Mus musculus: one gene and its partner. The protein of the gene in region 1 purifies or fractionates together with the protein of each later gene. This does not show direct contact. Links are inferred from orthologs where the notes say so. Each region holds a gene or a part of one and is shown in the gene's direction. Other genes may lie near its edges.

Region 1 (6,779 bases):
TCCGCAATCCAACTCCTAACTCCCAAACCAGCCCTGTGACCCTGGGTGCTCGCTCAGTTCCTAGTTACCCCCCCCCCCCCCCAACCTCCATGGCTAGATCTTCTAAGTCCCAGGTCTTCTCCAGCCCCAACAGCGAATCCTCAACCCTCTCCACCCTCAATCCCTCCCGTTGTCGCTATTTCCTGATCAGATCTGCTTTCTCTACCTCAATGTTCCCTGTCAAAATTCCTGCCCCAGACTAACACAGACACCATCTACTACTACCTGTGGGGACTGGCTTGCTGCACCTTCTACAGTCAACTATTTCCGGCCCCTGGATACATGCAAGGTCACCCTGGCAGTACAAAGTCCCTGAGTTCCAGAGCTGACAGTCAGCAGAGCCTGGAGGAGGGCCCCCCTGTGCCAGAGACTAAGTTCTGCCAGGGAGAGAAGGCCAGGGAAGAAAGAAAGAGGCCTATTTACCCCATCCACTCACCATCCACCCATCCTGGTTTCTGCTGTTCTGGGGATATCACACAGTCTCTTAGGCATGCTGGATGCTTTTTTTTTTTTTTTTTTTTTTGAGACAGGGTTTCTCTGTGTAGCCCTGGCTGTCCTGGAACTCACTCTGTAGACCAGGCTGGCCTTGAACTCGAAATCCACCTGCCTCTGCCTCCCAAGTGCTAGGATTAAAGGCCTGAGCCACCATTGCCAGACTGGCATGCTGGATGAGTGCTTTACCCACTGAGCACATCTCCTCCCTCTTCCTAACTCTCCCCTCCCCCTCCCCTTCTCCTTCCCTCCTTCTTTCTCTCTCTCTCCTTACTCTCCCCTTTCCTCTTCCCTCTCTCTTAAAAATAACTACCTTTATTTTTGTGTCATTTGTGTTATTTGTATCTTTTTTTTTTTTTTTTTTTTTTTTTGGTTTTTGAGGCAGGGTTTCTCTGTGTAGCCCTGGCTGTCCTGGAACTCACTTTGTAGACCAGGCTAGCCTTGAACTCAGAAATCTACCTGCCTCTGCCTCCTGAGTACTGGGATTAAAGGCGTGCGCCACCACGCCCAGCTGTGTTATTTGTATCTTAAGACAGGGTGTATCACTATGCTGACCAGGCTGACCTGGAACTTACCTAAGTGGACCCTGATCTCTTGGGTTCAAGAATCCTCCTGTTGTTGGGCAGTGGTTGTACATACCTTTGATCCCAGCACTCAGGAGGCAGAAGAGGGTGGATCTCTGAGTTTGTTTTTTTTAAAGATTTATTTATTATATATAAGTACACTATAGCTGTCTTCAGACATTCCAGAAAAGGGAGTCAAATCTTGTTACAGATGGTTGTGAGTCACCATATGGTTGCTGGGATTTGAACTCACGACCTTCGGAAGAGCAGTTGGTGCTCTTATCCGCTGAGCCATCTCACCAGCCTGGAGTTTGAGGCCAGCCTGGTCTACAGAGCGAGGTGCAGGACAGCCTGGGCTACACAGAGAAACCCTGTCTTGAAAAACCAACCCCCCCCCAAAAAAAAAAACCCAAAAACAAAACAAGAAAGAAGAAAGAGGGCTGGTGAGATGGCTCAGTGGGTAAGAGCACCTGACTGCTCTTCCAAAGGTCCGGAGTTCAAATCCCAGCAACCACATGGTGGCTCACAACCATCCGTAACGAGATCTGACTCCCTCTTCTGGAGTATCTGAAGATAGCTACAGTGTACTTACATATAATAAATAAATAAATCTTTAAAAAAAAAAAAAAAAGAAAGAAGAAAGAAAGAAATCCTCTGTCTCAGCTTTTCAGATATAGCTTGGACAAGAGGAAGCTGCTGCCCATACATGGTGGAGGCAGGAGGATCAGAAGTGTAAGGTTATGCTGGGCTACATAGTGCAAGGCCCAATCCTGTCTTAGCGACAAAAAAAGCAAATAAAACACAAGTACTGTGTGTCCTGCTCTGTTTTGTCTATTCACTGCTCAGTGTGTCAATAAACATTTCTCTCTCCTGTCTGCTCTCTTTCTCTCCTCTCTCTGCTGCTATCCTCTTTCCTGGCTGGGAGCTGAATGCAGGGCCTCATGTATGACAGACAAGCGCTCTGTCAAGTCAACTGCAGCTCCACACCTCAGTGTGCACTTATTAGGCACTGGCTGTGTACCAGGCACTGTCCTGTTCCTATTGTTCTCACTATGTAGCCCTGGGAACTCACTCTGTAGACCAGGGAGGCCTCAACTCTGAGATCCTCCTGCCTCCTCCACTGCTAAGTGCTGGGATTAATGGCGTGCACTACCAGGCCCATCGGTTTATTTTTATTTCATTTTGTTCTTCCACCACATGGGTCTCAGGAACTGAACTCAGATCTTCAGACGTGGAAGCCTCTCAAGCACCCTTATCCACCCAGCCATCTTGTCGACCCTCGTGGAGCAGTTATTGTGCACCTACTGTGTGTCAGGCACTCTAGATACAGGAACTATAGACAGTTGTATCAGAGCCCTGCCCCTGTGGAGTCCCCAGATTGGTCAGGTAGGAGGACATTAGTTAGTGTGAGGTTGTGAAGAGTTGAGAGATGACTCCAGCAGGTGTGTTGAGAGAGTTGCCCACTGGGGAGGCCAGTGGGCTACTGCACTGAGGTTTTGTTCCCAAATGGTTGCTATTGCTGTCTGAGGGACAGCCGTGCAAAGGTCCTGAGGTAGGACAGTGCATTTCAGTCACAGCGCAGTAAGGTCAGAGAGAAGAGAGGGACAAACGATGCTGTATCCTCTGACTGGTGCCCCCTCACCCCACAGTCCATCCTCTCCACAGCACACAAAGGGTTCCCATGAGCATAGATGAAAGTTTCCTCCCTGTGACCTGCCCACAGCTTTCCTGGGCTCCCACCTCCCTGCAGCCCACCAGGCCCTGGCCGCCCTGGCCATTCCTGCCCTGCCTCCCTCTGCTCCGGCCTCCTCACTACTGCAGCTTGCCAGGATCCTCTTGCTGTACATGGGGCTGAGCCCTGTGTCCCAGGGCCTTTGCACTGAGTGCTCTCCGGAAGAACTCACCTTCAGGGGCGATCAACTCTGTGGTGCCCTCCCTGAGGCATCCTTCACCCCGGGTTCCGTCTCAGGCTCATTTCCTCCAGGGCACTTTTATTTCTTGAAATGACCTTACACGGTTGTTCTCATTTCCTGTTGCTCTGACAGAGGTCAGCAGCATCTCCTGCCGAAGTGGCCAGACACAGTAGGTGTGGGAGAACTGGTCAGCCTATGAGGGGACTGCACAAGTGCGGGGTGAGAAGGCTGGACGTGAGAATGGAAGTAGAGTGTCCTAGAAATGGGTAGAGTTTTGGTGTGGTGGGGAAGTCAGGACTGGGACTTGGTTGCTAGGGCTGTGTGTGTCCTCTGCTCCAGGGCCTTTATATGAGCTGCACCCTTCACTCAGGCTTCTCCATTTTTGTGTCCCTGGGATCTATAAACACAAGCCTTAGTCCTTGGAGTTCTTGACCCTTTCCGGCTTAGTTCTGCAGCACTGACCCGCTGCAAACATTACCCATTTTTCTCTGGCCCAGGGTTATATTTTTCTGTTTCTTTTGTCTCCACTATCACTGCCTCTGCCTGCATAGCCACACCTGATTGCCCCCATTTCCCAGCAGCCACAGAGAAGGTGGTCACCCTCTCTCTCAGCTCTCTCTCTCATTCCTGGTCTGCCATCAGCTGTTACCACTCCCACCTGTGACTGTTGCTCTGCCAACGGTTGTAAGGCCCTTCCCTCTGCCTACCTGGCTCTCATGAATTTGGCACTGAGCCCGGCCCCACCTCTGCTGCTCAAAATCAGGTCTTTGAAGGCTTTAGGTCATCTGTGTGCAAAGTCTGTGGGTTAGCTGACTGACCTGTCCACTTCTGGTTTAGCCCAGGGTCCTCTGCCTTGGGCATTTTCTCTGGGGCATTGTAGGCTGCTAGATGCTTCCCTGGCCTTCACGCACTCTATGCCAGGGCTCTCTGGTCATAGCAGCCACATCTGTCCCTGCCTGAGCGGAGCAGGCAGTGACCCCCCATTCCAGCCTGCCTATGGAGGCAGGAGAGGTGTCAGGGTCCCGAGGATTGGCAGATGCTCTGCGGTCTTCTCAGCTGTGAACAGGGAGCTGGGAATAAGTGACTGTCCACCTGAGGGTATGCCAGTTTATGCCACATCCACTCACCCACTCATTAAGAGCAGTCACTCATCACCACACCTTGTAGATGCAGCGCTGGGCATGGAACTTGGTGCTCCATGAGTGCTCAGCCAACAGCACTCTACCCCATGGACTCAGCCCTCTTCCTGATTTGACAGGCCCGGGACCCTTGCCTCTGCCTCCCAGGGTTGGGGTTGAATGGGTGCAGCATCTTGTCTGGAAAGTCATGATGAACTCCTACTCCTGCAGGTCTGTGCTGCCGCCCTCCAGCATCTTTGCAGCAGGGGACGAGGCTGTGTGGGAGGCTGTCGGTTCGGAACATGTCTCCACCCACCCCACCCTCTGTGGCTCCAGGCTTCATTCTCCCCCATCCATGGATAACCCAGGGCCTTCGCTCCGTGGTGCCTTTGGCATTCTAGGTGCCTTGGAAAGGGACAGGCTGACCCACCTGAAACACAAGCTGGGGAGTCTGTGTTCAGGCAGCCAGGAGTCAAAGCTTCTCCATGCCATGGTACTCCTGGCTCTGGGCCAGGACACGGAGGCCAGGGTCTCTCTGGAGTCCTTGAAGATGAACACAGTAGCCCAGCTGGTAGCCCACCAGTGGGCAGACATGGAGACCACAGAGGGCCCTGAGGAGCCTCCAGACTTGTCCTGGACGGTGGCTCGCCTGTACCACCTGCTGGCTGAGGAGAACCTGTGTCCGGCCTCCACAAGGGACATGGCTTACCAGGTGGCCCTTCGTGACTTTGCCTCCCAGGGTGACCACCAGCTGGGCCAACTCCAGAATGAGGCCTGGGATCGGTGCAGTTCAGATATCAAGGGGGACCCCAGTGGTTTCCAGCCACTCCATTCTCATCAGGGTTCCCTGCAGCCACCTTCAGCATCCCCTGCAGTGACCAGAAGCCAGCCTCGTCCCATTGACACACCAGACTGGAGTTGGGGACATACGTTACACTCCACCAACAGCACTGCCTCACTGGCCAGCCACCTAGAGATCAGCCAGTCACCCACTCTTGCCTTTCTCTCTTCACACCATGGAACCCATGGGCCCAGCAAGCTATGTAACACACCGCTGGACACTCAGGAGCCTCAGCTTGTCCCTGAAGGCTGCCAAGAACCTGAGGAGATAAGCTGGCCTCCATCAGTGGAGACCAGTGTCTCCTTAGGGTTACCACACGAAATTAGCGTTCCAGAGGTGTCTCCAGAGGAGGCTTCGCCCATCCTCCCTGACGCCCTGGCTGCTCCAGACACAAGTGTCCACTGTCCCATTGAATGCACAGAGTTGTCTACAAACTCCAGGTCTCCCCTGACGTCCACCACAGAAAGTGTTGGAAAGCAGTGGCCTATTACAAGTCAGAGGTCACCTCAGGTTCCTGTAGGAGATGATTCTCTGCAGAACACCACGTCATCCAGCCCTCCTGCCCAGCCACCATCCCTCCAAGCCTCCCCTAAGCTGCCTCCTTCCCCTCTGTCCTCTGCTTCCTCCCCGAGCAGCTACCCTGCTCCTCCAACCTCCACATCCCCTGTTTTGGACCACTCAGAAACATCTGATCAGAAATTCTATAACTTTGTGGTTATCCATGCCAGGGCTGATGAACAGGTGGCCCTACGTATTCGGGAGAAGCTGGAGACCCTCGGGGTACCTGACGGGGCCACCTTCTGTGAGGAATTTCAGGTGCCCGGGCGTGGTGAGCTGCACTGTCTCCAAGATGCCATCGATCACTCGGGGTTCACGATCCTGCTCCTGACTGCTAGCTTTGATTGCAGCCTGAGCCTGCATCAAATCAACCATGCTCTCATGAACAGCCTTACACAGTCTGGGAGGCAGGACTGTGTGATCCCCCTCCTCCCACTTGAGTGTTCTCAGGCCCAGCTCAGCCCAGATACAACCAGACTGCTCCACAGCATTGTGTGGCTGGATGAACACTCCCCAATCTTCGCCAGAAAGGTGGCAAACACCTTCAAGACACAGAAGCTCCAGGCACAGCGGGTACGCTGGAAGAAAGCGCAGGAGGCCAGAACCCTCAAGGAGCAGAGCATACAGCTGGAGGCAGAGCGGCAAAACGTGGCAGCCATATCTGCTGCCTACACAGCCTATGTCCATAGCTATAGGGCCTGGCAAGCAGAGATGAACAAACTTGGGGTGGCTTTTGGGAAGAACTTGTCACTGGGGACTCCAACACCCAGCTGGCCCGGATGTCCACAGCCAATACCTTCTCATCCTCAGGGTGGTACTCCAGTTTTCCCCTATTCCCCACAGCCTCCATCCTTCCCTCAGCCTCCATGCTTCCCTCAGCCTCCATCCTTCCCTCAGCCTCCATCCTTCCCACTGCCTCCAGTCTCTTCCCCACAGTCCCAATCCTTTCCATCAGCCTCCTCCCCAGCCCCACAGACTCCAGGACCTCAGCCTCTCATTATTCACCATGCCCAGATGGTTCAGCTGGGTGTCAACAATCACATGTGGGGCCACACAGGGGCCCAGTCATCTGATGACAAGACTGAGTGTTCGGAGAACCCCTGTATGGGCCCTCTGACTGATCAGGGCGAACCCCTTCTTGAGACTCCAGAGTGACCAGGTTGGACCCCACCTAGATGGCTAGAGTGACAAGATTGGACTTCACCTGGGTCCTTAAAATGATAGTGGAGGAAGGGAACCTCGCCTGGGTCCCCAG
Region 2 (8,493 bases), on another chromosome or scaffold:
TCCTAACTTGTTTGCAACCAATAATGATCTTACTGACCACTTATTGAGCAAGAAATATGTATCGTGTTATGTGTGTTATGTCACCATAGAAATTACATTAATTTAACACTGGTCTTATGTGGTGTACTTAACTTTTTACTAAATGGTCAGTATCTGACAACTTTGACGAGATGGTCATTTGTTTCTGGCTAAGATGGGACTCTTCCTTTGACTAAGTGATTGTAGGTCTTCTGTTGAACCTGCTGCACAATAATAATGTAGAAAACTAAATGGCTTCCTATTCAGTCTACTCTCCATTGTAGGATAAAAACTGACATCATGATGGTAGCTAAGTATCAATTTTTTACTCATTGCAAAACCACATTTGCATGTTTATTGAGGTTTAGCAAATAAAACATTACTGCTTACGGCTTCTCTCTTCTACTTTGTACTTGGTTTGTCTTCTAGAAGAGGCTGACAGAACTTTAATGGTCTGGTTAAGGTCACCACATGCTAGTGTATTGTTATCATTTGGTTTTCAGAAAAAGAAATACCCACACAAAGCACTCTCCTGAATATTCCTATCATAGGTATGAAAGCTCTCAATGAAGATGTATATAAAATGTGTGCATCAATACCTCCTGAGACACAATTTAGAAGAGATTATTTGATTCTTTCTCTGAGGCTTCTTTTTACCTGTTCTTCCCTTTGGTAGCAAGAAAGGACATGTGCATCTTGGGCGTGGATGTACTTCTCAGTATTCTGTCCTTAATTATCACACTAGATTATTTTTCTTTTCTTTTTTTTTATTTTTCTTTTTAAAAATTTTTTATTAGGTATTTTCCTCGTTTACATTTCCAATGCTAGCCCAAAAGTCCCCCATACCCACCCACCCCCACTCCCCTACCCACTCATTCCCCCTTTTTGGCCCTGGTGTTCCCTTGTACTGGGGCATATAATGTTTGCAAGTCCAATGGGCCTCTCTTTCCAGTGATGGCCGACTGGGCCATCTTTTGATACATATGCAGCTAGAGACAAGAGCTCTGGGGTACTGGTTAGTTCATAATGTTGTTCTACCTATAGGGTTGTAGATCCCTTTAGCTCCTTGGGTACTTTCTCTAGCTCCTCCATTGGGGACCCTGTGATCCATCCAATAGCTGACTGTGAGCATCCACTTCTGTGTTTGCTAGGCCCCGGAATAGTCTCACAAGAGACAGCTATATCTGGTCCTTCTCAGGGAAGGCTGGCGATCTAAGCACTATTACTATTGCAGCAAAGACATACTCTACTTGGTATGCATTACAGACATTGATTGGAGGATGAGGGGGGTTAGGAAAGTTAAGATTTCAGAAGATGACAGTCTAGATTCTTTAAGTCTATTTTACAATGTTTTTCTCTAGCCTAGGCCAAGAGACATAGTCAGTGAGGAATTTCATTTTAGAATTATTTTACATTTGAAGTTTCTAGAATTTGGCACAATTTCTAAATGTGTAGTGAGATAAATGGATGAGGAAGGGATTAACTTTAAAAAGCTAGATTTTGATTTTGTCCTTTAATTCATTGATTGCTTGTTTGTGTCTGTCATATCCCCATGTATGTACTTAGATTTATGTATCTGCATGTGAAGGATAGGAGGATTTCGGTGTCTTACTGTGACTTTGTACTTTATTCCCTAGGAAGAGGGTCTCTTACTGAACTTGTATGTAGACTTGTGGCCAAGAAGCTCCACAGAGCCCCTGGAAAGGAGTAGCTGAGAGAATTCTAACCTGATTGATGGTGATCTAGACTTTTGCAGCTTTGTTGTAGCTAAAATACATTTGAGGTTCTTATGACACACCTTGGGGGTATCGACTGGACTAGTGATGTTTATCCTTCTATTCATCAGAAACTTATATGAACTTGCTTTTCCTCAGGCATGGCTCTAACAGCTTTACAACTACTCTTTGAGGAAGTATGATTATCCTTATATTGCCCACATTTTATTTTTATAATTGCCATAGTTGTCTTTTATGGGATATAATGAGGATCTGTGCTATGATTAATTTAATTCAACCACACAAGATAGATAATCTTCTATTTATTTAAAGATTTTTCTTTTTATTTTCATTCATGTATGAGTGTTTACCTACATATTTGTATGACTATCACATGCAGTGTCCATGCGAGTCAGAGGAGAGAAATAGATTCCCTGGAATTAGAGTTACAGATGGTTGTGGGATAGCATATGGGTGCTGGGAAGCAAACCCCTTTCTTTCAGAAGAGCAGAAATGACTCTTAATTGATGAGCTATCTTCCCAACTCTATACCTTCATTCTCATAGTAGCAAATGGAGAACTGGCTTGTATAGCTTGACTGCTGTCATGCATCTTTTTTTTTTTTTTTCTCTTCAGAGGCAGATGGATCTTTGAATCAGAACAATGAAGGGACCCAGTCTCTCCATGGAAGTGGAGACTGTACATAATTTTGCAGGGGGCTTGGGTTTTATATGGTGAAAAGGGGGATTTGGGGATAGAAGTTTCATAATGCAGGTCAGTTCTCCTGAAGTCTCAGTGGAGGTTGGAGGTTGCTGGTATTTTCATCTTCTTATCAGAAGCTTCCCTGGGAAGCTACCACATGCCAGCAGTCCACAGATGATCCAAGCAGAATCACATAGCCTTCTAAGTGTATGTATTCTAAATATTAGTATTTAGATATGTCAAATAATGTAAATATGTAAAGAAGGAGGGAGGTAAAAACTGTTCTCAGGTTTACAGGGCTGAAAATGAGGCTCAGGAAATAAAATCATTTGGACAAGGTGATCTGGTGTTTAGTCATCTGACCTGACCTTTACTTCAGCAACTTCTGATTCCCTTCACTACTTCTTCACTAGCAGTGTCACATGTAGAATTATGTACTGTTCCCTAAAATTCATAGGCTGTGCCTGTTTCTGTGACTGCAATTTAAAAATTCATCTCCCAGTGCCATGTCCTATGACTTGAATTTAATGAGATAATTAAAGTAAACTAATGTCTTATGGGTCTGCCTTAATACAATATAACTGATTATTTTAAAAAAAGAGGTCAGGGGCCAGGGAGATATCTCAGTTGATAAAATGTTTCAAATTCATGAAGACCTGCAGATCCTCAGTAACAGCATTTAAAAAAATGAAATAAATAAACAAATAAAAAGCAAACATCGTAAAAAAACAACATCACAAACAACAAAAACCCGAATGCTGATATCTATAATTCCAGCACTGGGAAAAGGCTAGCTACAGGTGGGAGATCTCAAAACTTAACTGATCAGTCAGTATAGCCAAGGAATCAGTACCAGGTTCAGTTAGAGACCTCGGCTCCAAAACAATGGTGGAGCCTCTTGAGTTTCTCCCACAGCTCACGAGCCTGCTCCTATCTTTCCTGAACGTTCTCCTTTTAATAATAAACACTATGATCCTGTTTCCAATAATAAATAGTAATTAATAATAAAAGAAGATTGAGAACTGAGAACTGCAGAAGGCACTCAATAGTGAACTCTGGCTTTTACACACACACACACACACACACACACACACACACACACACACACACACACACACACACACGAAATATACATCCCCCCCGTGAACGAATGAACACGTACACACATAGGTAAAAGAAAGCATCATGACACAAGACACGGCAACTGATGATATCTTCATCCTGGGTTTTAATCTCTAGCATTGTGAGAAAATATGTTCCTCTAGTCTGAAACATCCAGTCCCTAATACTGTGCTCTGGGAGACTTGGGAGTCTAACTGAAGCAGTAAGCATCCTCTGTTGAAAATAAAGAAGGAATGAGGATGTTGCTCCACGCCAGTTCCCTGCCTTCACCAAGCCCAGAGGTCAGATGACTTCCTGGGATGAAAGCCAGCTTCCTCTTGCTGTTCCTCCAGTCGGTCAGCAAACGCCTTCTTCCTGTTCTAGTCTTCAGTCTTCTAACTTCCCTCCTGCGACGGGGCAGATCGATTCTAGAACAAAACCAAAAGTGAGAATGCTAAGGTTGGCACTCTCACTTCCTCTTTGAATATAGTACTTGCAGAGGGGCACCCACTGGGAGGGAAGAGGCAGGTGTCCCAGGGACTCTGCGCTGCCACCAGTTACAGATCGTCATGTTCTCTCATGGCCTCCACTGGTTGCAGAAAATGCCAGGATGATGCCTCCCTGGCTCCTGGCTAGGACTCTGATCATGGCACTGTTCTTCTCCTGCCTGACACCAGGAAGCTTGAATCCCTGCATAGAGGTATGTGTCTTGATCGCATGTGATCACACCCTTTCCTGCTAGCCTGCCTTGTTTCTCAAAACTATCCACAGCTCAGAGCTCCCTGTGTGTGCTCTGCTTAGTTTATTTTGCACGAAGGAGTTAAACTAACCAAAAACTTGAGAAGCCTTGGCAACAAAAAGCCTCAGTGTTAACACAGGGCAGGAACAGGCAGCCAGGGGTGTCTTGTTTCATTTAAGGCGTCTGAGTCATGATTTAGGGACTTGAAATTAGTAAAACTAGTTTATAGTCATTGTTCTGTGACATACCTGAGAGTCGTTAAAGAACTTACTGAACGTCTCTGAGGCCAGTATTCACGGGACGAAAGCATGACTGTAATCACTGAAAAATGTAAGTAGGCTGTAATTTCAGGGCTTTCTGTGGGAACTCTGGCCACTCAGCTTTTAGCGGTCATTCCTTCCCTTTCCAAATCAAGTGAAGGTAGCTGTGTCTTTTCTGCTGCTTTCGAAGCATCTTTGAGATGCTTTGAGTGGTAGCTCAGCAGGTAAGGTCAGTGGCTGCCAAGCCTGATGAAAATCTGAGTTCAAGCCTCAAGCCTCACAAGTTAGAGGCAGGGAATCTCCTCCTTTAAGATGTCTTCTCACTTGCAAGTGTCTGCCTTGGCAGGTGTGTATATGCATGAGCACACACACAAATGAATAAAGGGAACAATTGTCTTAAATGAAAGAATTTCTATTAAAAAATAAAACAACAAAACACACAAAAACACAAAGACTTTTCTAAGTGATTTTAGTATTCTGCAACTAATTCTAGGAGATAAAGAAATGGGAGGGGTGAGGGAAGGAGAGGGACAGAGCAACTTAAAACATCAATTAGTTACTGCTAAGGCAGTAACTCCCGTTTTGGTCGAATACTGAGTCGTGAGTAATCTGACCCATGACTCATTCTTGTTTTCCTCCTGCACAGACCACGCAATTATCTTAGAAGCTCACAATAGAACTGAGCAAACAAGGAAGGAATTCGGGGTGAGGTAGGCTCAGAAGCTCAAAACTGGTTCAATGAGTTAAGATACATGACATTCACATGGGGAAAAATACTGTTAATTTTAAAAAGTTATAATCACAGTATCTTGCTTTCTGATTCCTCAGTTATGTTGGCAGAGATGGAATTTCCAATCAGTGCTACACTGAGATAAAATCCCGTTGCTCTTGGTGTCTGGTGTGCTTTGTCAACTCTCAAAGCTTGCTTGTTCCTTCTGTAAGCCAGGTCTCAGGGCCCTTGGCCTTGTCTTCAGGAGTGATTCCTGACTGGTTTCCTAGTTCATATTCCTTTCTATACCCACACACAGTTTCTTCTTTATTTGTTGTTATTGGTCCAGGGGCTTAGATTTATCAAACTACTCCTTTATACTCTTAATAACTCTTTGGAACCATGATGGTTGCTTCATCCTACAGGGCCTTAGCACTGCCTAAGCTAACTACACACACCATCATCCCTCACCTAGGTCAAGGCTCACCATGCTAAAATTATGGAATCCCTGTATATAGTTTAAAACTTCACTGTTGATCAAATTGAAAAATTAAGAATAAATGCATCAAATTAGTTTCAATGATTTTTATGCAATTAAATATAGTTATGATGCGTGAAATATAATAAAAGCATCCCACACTAACACTGGCTAAGCACTAGCCTCAGGTCTGTCTCCAGCCCTATGGACAGGCCGAGGAGAACATGTTCTTTCCTTTAGCCAGGGTCTGTCTCACCCATGCCTGCTCTGTGTCTCCAGAGCTCTGAAATTGCTCTTTTCACCAGGCTCCATAAGTTACCATGGCTGGCTGATGCCAAGCACGCCCCACATTTCCAAATTCCTGCAGCTGGCTGGGGTGTACTTTTTTTTTATTAGATATTTTCTTTATATACATTTCAAATGCCACCCTGAAAGTTCCCTATACCCTCCCCCCACCCTGCTCCCCTATCCACCCAGTCCCACTTCTTGGCCCTGGCGTTTCCCTGTACTGGAGCATAAAAAGTTTGGGCCTCTCTTCCCAGTGATGGCTGATTAGGCCATCTTCTGCTACATATGCAGCTAGAGATACGAGCTCTGGGGGTACTGGTTAGTTCATTTTGGCTGGGGTGTACTCTTGCACACCACACTCTACCACCATACTTTTCTCTGGAGCCCAGTTGAGTTGCCATGTGAAGGAAAACACAACACACACTTGGTCTACAATCAACAGGTAACACAATGTTGGGTGCAGAACCTAGCATCCTAATTTTTTTTTATTAGATATTTTCTTAATTTACATTTCAAATGCTATCCTCACAGCCCCCTATACCCTCCCCTCTGCCCTGCTCCCCAACCTACCCACTCCTGCTTCCTGGCTCTGCCATTCCCCTGTACTGTTTTTGTAAACTAATCTATGTTAAAAATCCTCCGACTCAGGAGCCTCTTGTTCTTGTGGAGACTTGAGGACCCAGGATAGGGGAACACTAGGCTGTTAAGGCAGGAGTGGGTGTGAGGGTGAGGGAGCACCCTCATAGAGGTAGGGGGGTGGGGGACGGCGAGGGGGTAGGGGGCTTGTGGAGGGAAAACTGGGAAGGGGGATAACATTTGAAATGTAAATGAGTAAAATAACCAAAAAACAAACAAACAAAATCCTCAGGTGGCAGATCTTGGAGGATCCACCACTTGAATTGACAGCCTCCGACTATCTGCAATGTGCCTCTAATGCTCTCAGCCATCCACAAAGAGACCTTCCTTACTCCTGCCTCCCTCTTCCTCTTCCTCTTCCCGACTCGGAAGTCCCACCTACTCATCTAGTGATTGGTTTCCTGTAATGTTTATTAGGGGGAAATCCTACCACATAGTTAAGCAATTACGAAGATACCTTATGTTCAATTTTTGATACAGGAAATTAGACATTCAGCAACATTTTTGTTTTACTGGACATTTTGATTTCTCCTATGCGTGTTTCATATTTCATAGCTATGTGTGGCTTATAGCTGCAGTACTCTAATGTGGAGCTTTGATTTCAGGATTATCTTTTTCATTTTATGTAGATTTCTCTGTGAATGTCTCCTCAGGTTGATTTTTCTTGATTGCCTCATGTACATTTTCCCCTTTACCCTCTCCATATGCTCTTTCATTGATCATATCATTTTGTATGTTTGTCTTTTATTTTTCCACCATTTATTCTCCCCTTTGTGTAGAATAAACAAGAAGGGAGTATTACTGCTGGGTTTGTTAGCATGTCACCAATGCCTCTCAGTGGTTAACGCTAAGACCCTTTAGTACAGTTCCTCAGGTTGTGGTGACCTTCACCCATAAAATTCCTTTTGTTGCTACTTCTTAACTATAATTTTGTTATGGTGTTGAACGATAATGTAACTATCCCCTATGCAGGATATGTGATATGTGATCCTGTAAATGGATTGTTTGACCCTTAAATGGGTCAAAGTCCACAGGTTAAGAACCACTGGCCTAGATCATGATAGGTCTTCAGTTGTATGTGTAGTATGTGTGAAACCAGTGAAAGAATGACTTCTGAACACCATCTGATGTCCTCGTGTTCTGCCTGTGGCTTCTCCATGACAGAAGGCTCTGCCAGTTTGTCTACATTTGTTCCCACTTGTTATTATTTGCTTATGTTCTTTTCTCCTTTTGACATACATATTTTTTCCTTTACCACACATTTCCTTGATCAGCTTTCCTTCTGAATCTAGAATCTGTGTCTTTGCAACTTTCGTAGTTCTTATTCATGTTCTTCTCTGTTAGCTGGTTCTATGAGTGCAGTGCCATCAGAAATCATGTAACATGTATTCTTGTACCACCCATGGCCTTTAGCAGAAAAAGCCTACTATTTAACTTATACGGGCTGGTGTCCCACCAATTACACAATATTTATCATTCATTCATCCAACAAATGTCTATTGAGCATTGAGAGGTCACCATGTACCTTTCTGAGCCTTGAAGATAAATAGCAAACAAAAATCATCAGAGCATCAATGCTCATGGTTCAATTGATAAATGAAAAGCATCTGGAAAATAACTATATAGGCAAGAGATTTACCTTGTCATCAAAATCTGTAAAGGAAACAAAAGAGGGTGAGAGAAGAATTTCTGTCTGATGCCTTACTCTCTTAGATACATTGCCTTCAAGGATCCGATGATGAGTACCATTTAGGGAGATGTGTGTGAAGAAGCCTGTTTATGTATGAATCTTCTGACTATATGTGTATTACCCCACCTCTTTTATTTTCTTTGTCTTTAGAGGATTT

What was found. The genes of interacting proteins can lie anywhere in the genome.
Region 2: the proteins of Ticam1 (region 1) and Tlr4 purify together in Homo sapiens (affinity purification with western blotting; 3 studies listed by BioGRID). This does not show direct contact. The link is inferred for Mus musculus from reciprocal best matches to the Homo sapiens genes TICAM1 and TLR4.

What each region holds. Positions count from the first base shown.
Region 1 is NC_000083.6:56,269,795-56,276,573, reverse strand, and holds part of Ticam1 (TIR domain-containing adapter molecule 1), read left to right. Parts: intron 1-4,356; 5' UTR 4,357-4,480; coding exon 4,481-6,679; 3' UTR 6,680-6,779.
Region 2 is NC_000070.6:66,823,686-66,832,178, forward strand, and holds the start of Tlr4 (toll-like receptor 4 precursor), read left to right. Parts: upstream 1-3,865; 5' UTR 3,866-4,146; coding exon 4,147-4,236; intron 4,237-8,493.